2 linked regions of the Neurospora crassa OR74A genome follow. The protein of the gene in region 1 purifies or fractionates together with the protein of each later gene. This does not show direct contact. Links are inferred from orthologs where the notes say so. Each region holds a gene or a part of one and is shown on either strand. Other genes may lie near its edges.

The links. The genes of interacting proteins can lie anywhere in the genome.
Region 2: the proteins of NCU04485 (region 1) and NCU03961 purify together in Saccharomyces cerevisiae (affinity purification with mass spectrometry, with the first as the bait; 3 studies listed by BioGRID). This does not show direct contact. The link is inferred for Neurospora crassa OR74A from reciprocal best matches to the Saccharomyces cerevisiae genes ESF1 and ENP2.

Annotation. Positions count from the first base shown.
Region 1 is NC_026504.1:3,204,099-3,208,289, reverse strand, and holds NCU04485 (pre-rRNA processing protein Esf1), read right to left. Parts: upstream 2,801-4,191; 5' UTR 2,733-2,800; coding exon 570-2,732; 3' UTR 324-569; downstream 1-323. Other genes in the region: NCU04484 (hypothetical protein), read left to right, coding at 1-86. UniProt on the Saccharomyces cerevisiae protein: Involved in the 18S rRNA synthesis. Required for the early cleavages at sites A0, A1 and A2.
Region 2 is NC_026506.1:2,245,952-2,249,928, forward strand, and holds NCU03961 (WD repeat protein), read right to left. Parts: upstream 2,801-3,977; 5' UTR 2,694-2,800; coding exon 2,662-2,693; intron 2,602-2,661; coding exon 696-2,601; 3' UTR 426-695; downstream 1-425. Other genes in the region: NCU03960 (hypothetical protein), read left to right, coding at 1-68, 136-425; NCU03962 (hypothetical protein), read left to right, coding at 3,815-3,853, 3,927-3,977. UniProt on the Saccharomyces cerevisiae protein: May be involved in rRNA-processing and ribosome biosynthesis.

The DNA of each region.
Region 1 (4,191 bases):
GAACGAGGGATGATGTGGAGGAGTGGCTGCCGGTGGAGATGGGAGGGGAAGAGGTTCCGGTTGTGGATCTGACGGAGGAACCTTGACGACTGGCCGGAGGTTGAGAATCGCTTGCAAACCTCGAAGGACGATGAAAAGAGGTAGCTATGGATAAGACGAACACAATTGTCGAGGGAAGAATGTCGGAGGCCCAGTGTCTTTCCAGGGGTTTTGCCAGACACACAGAGTTATTTCCTCGGGGAGAGAGATTAAGAAAGGTAAAGGCAAACATCTCGACAACAAAAGCTCCAACTTACATGGCCATGAGGAACTGATGGACCTCGAGTACCACATATTATGGCCGCCATTGTGAAGTGGAAAAGAGTTGCGAGGTAGCTGTACGTGGTTCTGTCCTCATCCACAAAAGGGGACGATCATTAAAGACAAAGGGAGCAACCCTACATGACCTGAATTTAAACCACATTGACCCAAGGACCATTTACAAGACTGGACAGTGGAGGAACGACAGATGGATGTGAACCAACAGAAATCAAAAACTTGCCATTAATATGCTGTTACCCGTGATGCAATCATTTCTTCGCCTTCGCCTTCGCCTTCCTCTTGACAGAGTTGATCAGACCATCGATATCCGCGTCGTCAGTCTTGACCTTCTTGGCGCTCTTCTCACTCTTCTCCGTAACACTGGGTCCATCCTTGCGCTTCTTTCTGCCCTCCTCAAGAAGCTTCTTCATACCCTGAGTAGCCGTGAACTTAGGATTAGAGGGATCAATAGCGAACTCGTGGCTCTCGAAAACGGCCTTGAAACGAGGATCCTCGACGTCCATGGCGAACTCTTCCTGGAGACCATCGTTGCCCTCCACGCCCTTCTTGCCCTTCTTGCCCTTCTTCTTGCCCTTGACCTTCTCGACCTTGGCGATCTGCTTCATGTCGAAGTGATCGAGACGGCCACTGTCACCGTTTTCATCAGCCATAAGCAGCTCCAGCTGTGCCTTCTCGGCGGCGTTGGCAGCCTCCTCAGCTTCCCTCTCAGCCTTCTTCTTGAGCCTCTCCTCTTTGCGAATCGCCGTCTTGGAAGGCACCACAGGCTCAGCAGTGAAGAATGGATCGTCGAAACCGAGATCTTCGCCTTGGTCGCCTTGCTCTTCCTCCTGCTGAGGAGCGGCGTTGGGATCGCGACCTTCCCTCCTAGCAAGCATCTCCTGCCGCTTCCTCTCCTTTCTCTCGCGCTCCTTGCGCTTGTACTTCTCGATGGTCGTCTCCTCCCTATCTTCGTCACCCTTCTTCTTGTCGTTGGCGGATAGTGCTGGCGTGAAGGTGATTTGCATCTCGCCCACCGGAGTATCCTTCTTGGACTTTACCACGGGCTCGTCAGCAAGACCAAGAGCAGCGCGCATCTTGCGCCTGGCAAGCTCCTTCTTGGACAGTGTCTTTTCCTCTTCTGCTTCCTCGGCAGCGGCCCCCTCGGCCTCGAACTGCTCCTTCTCCTCCTCGTCCTCCTCGTCGTCTGAGCTGTCGCTCGCAAGGTAAGCGCGCAAGTCGTTCTCGGCGATATCGTTGCGGCTACCGGTGAAGGCCTTCTTGAGAGCTTCTTTTCTTGAGTAATCTTCGGGGTTCGTATCCCAGGTGAGTTTGACCTTGGAATGCTGGAGAGCATCGGTCACGAACTCCACCGGCTTGTACCCCGCAGGGACGCTGTCGCACTCGTCTCTGGGTTCGTCGTCGAACGTGACATCGTCGGGGACAAATCGCAAGTCGAGGAAGTTGGAAGAAGAAAGATACTCGTTGCCATCCGTCGCCTCGTAGATCTTGTATGCTGTGTTCTTGTCGGAGCAAACCATAACGGCGTAGTAGTAACGTAACCTGTCGAGCTGATAAGTGCGAAGGGCGTCACTGTCAAAGTCCTGGTCGTCTCCTTCCTCAAGAAGCTCCTTCTTGATGGCCTCGTCCGAATCAGAGTCCTCCGAGTCACTGTCGGAATCGGAGTCACTCTTCTTCTTGAAGATCTCCTGGGGAGGACCCTCCAGCTCTTCTCTTTGCATCCTCTGCTTGCCGAACTCGCTAGGGTAGACAGATACCTTCTCGATGCGACCACCTGGGGGCACGAAGCTCGAGAAGAGGGCGAATAGATCGATCGACTTGATATGGTCCCAGTCAATGTTGACGATGGCAACTCTGTTTGTGATCTCGCCTTCCTCAACAGCCTCCTTATCCTTGCGCAAGCGGATACCGGGTCGTGTTTCCGCATCAGCCTCGTCTTCCACCTCTGGCTTTTCGTCTTCGGAATCTGAGGAGTCGGAGTCGGAGTCGTCATCGGATGAAGAAAAACCGCCGCCACGGGCAGGGTCGTATGAGTTGGCAGCCTCGAGTTCGCGCTGAACAATGTCGTCGTCCTCGACCTCGAAGTCGCTCTCGTCTTCCGCTTCGTCCTTCTTTCCCTTGCTGGCCTTCTCTTTGGCCTCGTTGTCTGTGGCGTCCTCGCTCTCATCCTCGTACAGCCGTTCCAAAGCCTTCTTCTTGGTGTCGGTCTTTAGCTTGCGGCCGTACCTGTCGACCTTTGCGACGGCGGTGAACTCTGCATCTTTGAGAACCTTGGAGAAACGCTTGTCGAGCTTGGTCTTTAGGTTCTTTTTTGAGGGCAGCTGGAATCGCGGGTCGGTCTCGAAGTTGGCAAAGCGAGCATCGGTAATCGCAGGAGCGCCATCGCGCTTTTTAGGCTTGTTATCTTTGGGCATGGTGGATGTGGAGATGGTGACTGATGCGATCCAAAATCGAGGATTCGACGGCAGCAAGGAAACTCGCAGATTCGACCCGACATGTGCACAGCACGCAAAGTCCGAGAAAATTTTAGTGGAGCGTTGTTGATTCTGCCAAAGGCGGTCTGCACATGCTAATGTCAAGGTGCCCCACCTAAAACGCCAAGTCCTGTGCTATGGATCAATCCACTTCCCCGCATTGGTGCCCTGGCATGCAGCAAATGGAGCCCGCTAAAAACTCCGTCAAAAGCCAAAGTCCACTGACGCTGTCAGCGCAGGGCTGTTCAACCTCGAAAAACTCCAAAAACGCCATCGTCCTCCAGCAATCCCGTCGATGATTGTCCTCGACCATCCAATCCAACAAATTCGGGTATCAACTTGTCCGTCATTCGGAATCCAACGTATAATCCTGTCATCGCATGCCTCATCGGCCGTCCTTCAACTTATGACCAGAGAACTCCCATTCGACGTCACCCACCCACCGATCGGCCATCCAGTCCTGTCCGCTGTCGCTGTCGCTGGTCATCGAATCTGGACCTTCCACTCGTTAGGACGACTGATATCGCATGAATTGACAGTGTTCGCGGATTGACTACCTACCGAAGATGTTACGCAGGTTTCAGTTCTTTAACTGTTCCCATGCCACATCGTTGCGCCCAACGTAAGGATCCCAACAAGCATCAAGAGCGACAATAGCGTTGTGCAAGCCCTATTCTCTGCCTTGACGTCTTCGTCTTGGTCGGAGGAAATGAGTCGTGAGTAGCTCTCCAGATTCATGGTTTGTATAAGTTGGAAGAACCTGGTCGACAGTGCCGCGTTATCGGATGGGTTGTTAAGGATGTGTCTGGGACGTGGGATCCTGAGATATGAACCGGATGGTTAATGAGGGTTGGATGGCGAGTCCAAAAGATGAAGGGCGTCCGAACAAGACTTATAATTGTTCTTTGGTCCCCATCCGAGAATCAATGGCCCACCACTATTCGTTCCTCACTTCAGGGGCAATCATCATTACACAACTTCCGGACCAAGTCCAAGCTGTTCTTTGTTTGCGCTCAACCAGGAAAGAGATCCTTGGTGATGGTCAGGTGGGGTTACCAAGGCGGGAGTCGAGGCGAATGTCCCTAGGACTGAGCTCCGGAATGCCTCTCCGGGTGTCATCGACTCCGCATGCCTTGCCAACACAACCCCGGAAAACCCTAAATCAGATGTCGATGATGTTCTTGGCATTTTCACAAGCGAGAAGCATCAACAATGCCTGCATCACGTGAGACACCGAGCACGCCTTTCTTCATCAACAGAGTGAACCACAGAGTCCGGATTTGGGTGTTTGTATTCTTCATCCTGCCCAGCTGTTTGGGACGCGACATTGACTCGAAGCCATCAACGACATTCGAGACCTCTGTCAACCACATTCCCGGCCGTGCCAGCGTCGCTTGCC
Region 2 (3,977 bases), on another chromosome or scaffold:
CGTCGGGCTATCTCAAGGTGGTCTGATCGCCATCATTGTGGTTGTTTGTGTCGTCACCATCTTCGGTGGTAAGTCTTTCTCGCCCATCAGCAATACTGCACTGACCGGACATGATATTGACCCTCCCTCCAACAGTCGGTAGCGCAGTTCTCTTCTTCCTGGCAAAGAAAAATGAGTGGAAGGTCAGGGAGACCATTCGAAAGTCGGCAAAGAGGGTCGTCACGGCTTTGACCCCACGACGCAGCGAGTTCCCCAGATCGGTCAAGGGATCTTTCCGATCAACCAGATCCCAACATAAAGGCCGTGTAAGGATCGATGATGTGCCACCCACCCCGCGCATCAAACCCGAGCATCTGGATTTGGAAAAGGGCATGGGGAAGCCGGAGAAGTCAGGAAAGACACGCATCAACTTCAGTCGGAAGTGAGCCGGTGTGGCGCAAGAGAAAATCAGACAGCACGAGTTGAGATATAATGAACCATTTGATGACGAAAATGGCAAGCTTGGGGTATATTTTGGGTATCGCTGGTCGCGCGAGCCTATTGCTTTGCGACTCGTATTCGGAAAGAAATGTGTGCCGTGGACGGCAATGATGTTCTTGGCCGGTTCACCACGGCCTGGAGGAGTTGACATGAAAGATACCATGACTTTTTCACATGTATAGTATATAGGGTTGGACCAATAAGCTTCTGGCGTTTTACAGTCGTCTAAAGGTGTTCGTGCTTGCACTTCGCCTCCCATCATGTCTCTTCCGTGTTGGTGCAGCCTCGGGTTCAGCCTGCTTCTTCTTCTTGGACTCGGGCACGAACGTAATCTTCTGCTCTCCGACCACGTCCGTTCGGGTCTTAGTGACGCGCCCGGTCCTTGGAGCTCTTTGGCCGAATGCCGTATCCTTCGCCTTGCCGCCCGCAATCTTGGACGACGAGACCTGCATGACCACGTCATCCTTGCTCTTCTTGCTCTTCTTTTTCTTGCTTTCGACCTCGCTTTCCGGATCGCTCTCATCGTCACTGTTGCTGGTAACTGAAGAGTCGTCCTTGACATGCTGTACTGCGACATCTTGTCCGCCAACCTGGGTGCTGGGGTTGAGGGCTCTGAACTCCCTGGACGTCTCATCGACCTTGAACTCCTCATCCTCGAACAGCTTGCCGAAACGAGAATCGCCCAAGACGCCAGCGGCAATCTTCTTCTTGTCGGAACGATCAACAATCTTGTCAACCAGCTTCTGGTTGACCTTGACCTTCTTGACACCTCTGATACGGCTCTCGCGAGCCTTCTCAACCTTCTCCTTGACGCGCTTGGCCCGCTCCTCTTCCCAGACATACGGATTGGCAATGAGACGAGCCTGGTCGTACAACTTGGAATGTACAAAGTAACCGTGCATATAAGGACGCAACAGGTTGGTCTTGCCAACCAAGTGAGCCAAGCTGAGCTGCTTGAGTTCGGGTATCGTAAGGAACTTGTAGTTGTCGTATGTGTCGACACGCTTCTCGTTCTCCATTTCGTGGACCATGTTGTCGAGGAAATGGCACCACCTGGGAGCCAGGCCAAGGTTGGGAATAAAGAAACTGTGCATCTGCTTGCCCTCGTTTGCCGTCAATAGCATGCCGGAATCGGGGACATGCGCCACATGATTAATGTCAACGGTCGGCTCGATTGAGGTCCAGAGGTCGCCACTCTGTTCGTCCCAGAGCTTGATGATTCTCTTATCGGCCGTGAGAAGCTTCTTTTCCTCGGTAGGAGTCGTCAAGTGGATGATGTTCTTGATGGGAAGACCCATGCCCTGGTCCTTCCGCATAAGCGGGCGAGGGTTTCTCAGATCGAAAACTTGAACAATACCCGTGCCTGTTCCGAGCGCAAGAGAGAGACCGTCTCTGCTGTAATCCAACGCAGTGATTTCGCCCTCTTGGCCGCCCAATACAGCAACGCGGTTCCTGCTACGGGGATCGTAGAACTCGACTGTGCCGACGGTCGTTCCGAAGGCGCAAAGACCGTGTGTGGACTCGGCGACGGCCGCGACATTAACAGCTCCGACGTTGATGCTTCCCTGAAGACCAGCACCGGGCTCATCTTCACCCACATCCACCTGCCATGGCCTCAGGAACTGGCCGCGCTCCAGATCGAGGCGGAAAACCTCGCCCATACCAGAACCATCCGCACTCAAACCGACAGAGGGAATGAGCACTTCTGTACTTTGACGGAGATATGCAAGGTCTCTGCCGAAGCGCGGGAGTCTGACTTCGTAGTGACATCCCATGGGGGTATGGAATTCGATCGAACGGTCGGATTGGAGGTGTACGCTCTTGGTGTAATCTTGGCTGAGCATAATGAAGGTGGTGTTTTCGGATTTGGTGTGGCGAGCGAAAGACAGCGACAGTTCCTGTGTGTTGTGGACGTGGAACTGGGGCTTGTAGGTACCGGAGCTCATGATCCAGTTGCCATCTTCACTGACACGGACGCAGTTGCTGGCCTCCTCGAAGTCGAAGTTCTGGAGGAGCTCGAAGTTGTTGAGTTCTTCGGGCTCGTACTTGGCCGATCTCTTTCTGCGGCGGGCAAGCCATTCTGGAAGGGGTCTCGCAGTCGACGGCCCAGATACGGTGTATCTGCGATGATGGTTAGCATTTCACAGCGGATCTCTCTTTTCCAATGGCAAATAGACGTACACTGGCACCGCGCCGGGATTTGTCAATTTCATGATGGGTGGTTTTGTTGGTGATGAGGGATGGGGCAAGGATGGAAGATGTTGAGAAAGCAGAGAAAGCTTCAACTGCTACTATCTGCTGAATGGGAAGTTTTGGAGAACAACCCTAACCCGTATCTGAACTTTTTGCGGCAGAAAATCTGCAAAAAGTTCAGAGAAGTGCCATGGTCGCCAAATAAGGAAGGCGGAGAGCCACCGGCGATAAAGCGAAAGGTAGTAGGGCGATAAGGCGGCTTGAAGAGGAAGCGGGACGGGAGGACTGCCCGTGGTGGACCTTTGAATTCTGGTAGGCGGGCGTCGCCGTCAGCAGGTCATTGCAGTACCTAGGCCGGGTGCCTCTAGGTAGGTGAGGTGGCAGGCCTGGATTGTGCTTGGCAGCAGGGTCCTTTCAGCTGTGGATACCTCTAGAGGTAGTGTGGGTCCTCCCCCGTCGCTGATCCGAACCTAACTGCCTGCGTGGCTGTTCGCCTGTCGCATCGGCGGGCAGGGCATCCCGCCGACCTGGAACCCAACTGACTGCAATGGACTTTACTGGACCGAATTCCTTTTGATTCGAGTCGGCCACCTCGATGGCGGCTGTGAAGTCACGATTACTGCCCGCCGTCACCGTATTCGTTACTACCACCGGACCGCCAACTACCTACCTACCTGAACCGATGTCCACCATCCTTCAGTCCCACGACACTAACCTACAGTAATATCGCATCCCGTCATCCCATCGCATCCCCCTCCCGCCTTACAGCTCCTCACTCCGTCCCATCTCCCAGGTCCCGAACCCGCAAATGACCTCGTGGGCGCATGGTCGGTGATCCGCGACGGTTCGCGCTGTATGGACAGGGGCCTTGCTGCCATGGAGTCCAGCATCCCAACGACGTACAGCTCAAGACAACTACCGAGTTCATCATCCATGCTGTTTGAAGTTCGGCTTCCACAGCTTCCACTTCTGAGCGTCGCCACAGTAGACTTTCATCCCAACACGCCATCACACCGTCCCTCAGGCCGCCGTCGCCGGCCTACATGCGCCCTCATCCCACTCCGCTAACACGCCTTCGCGCCCGGTGCATGGTCACTACGACTTCTGCGACTCCGCCTCCAAAGGCATCTCTATTTCAGATATGGACACTGGCGACTATGATACCAATACCTTGCTAATTGTATGCTGGCCTGTCCCGTCCTCGGACCACCGCCTCCCACTCCCCCCCCCTAACTCACGCGTCTCTCCTGCAGAATAATCTTTCCGCCATTTCTTTTCGCGTTTACGAACCCGTTGCCGCCAAC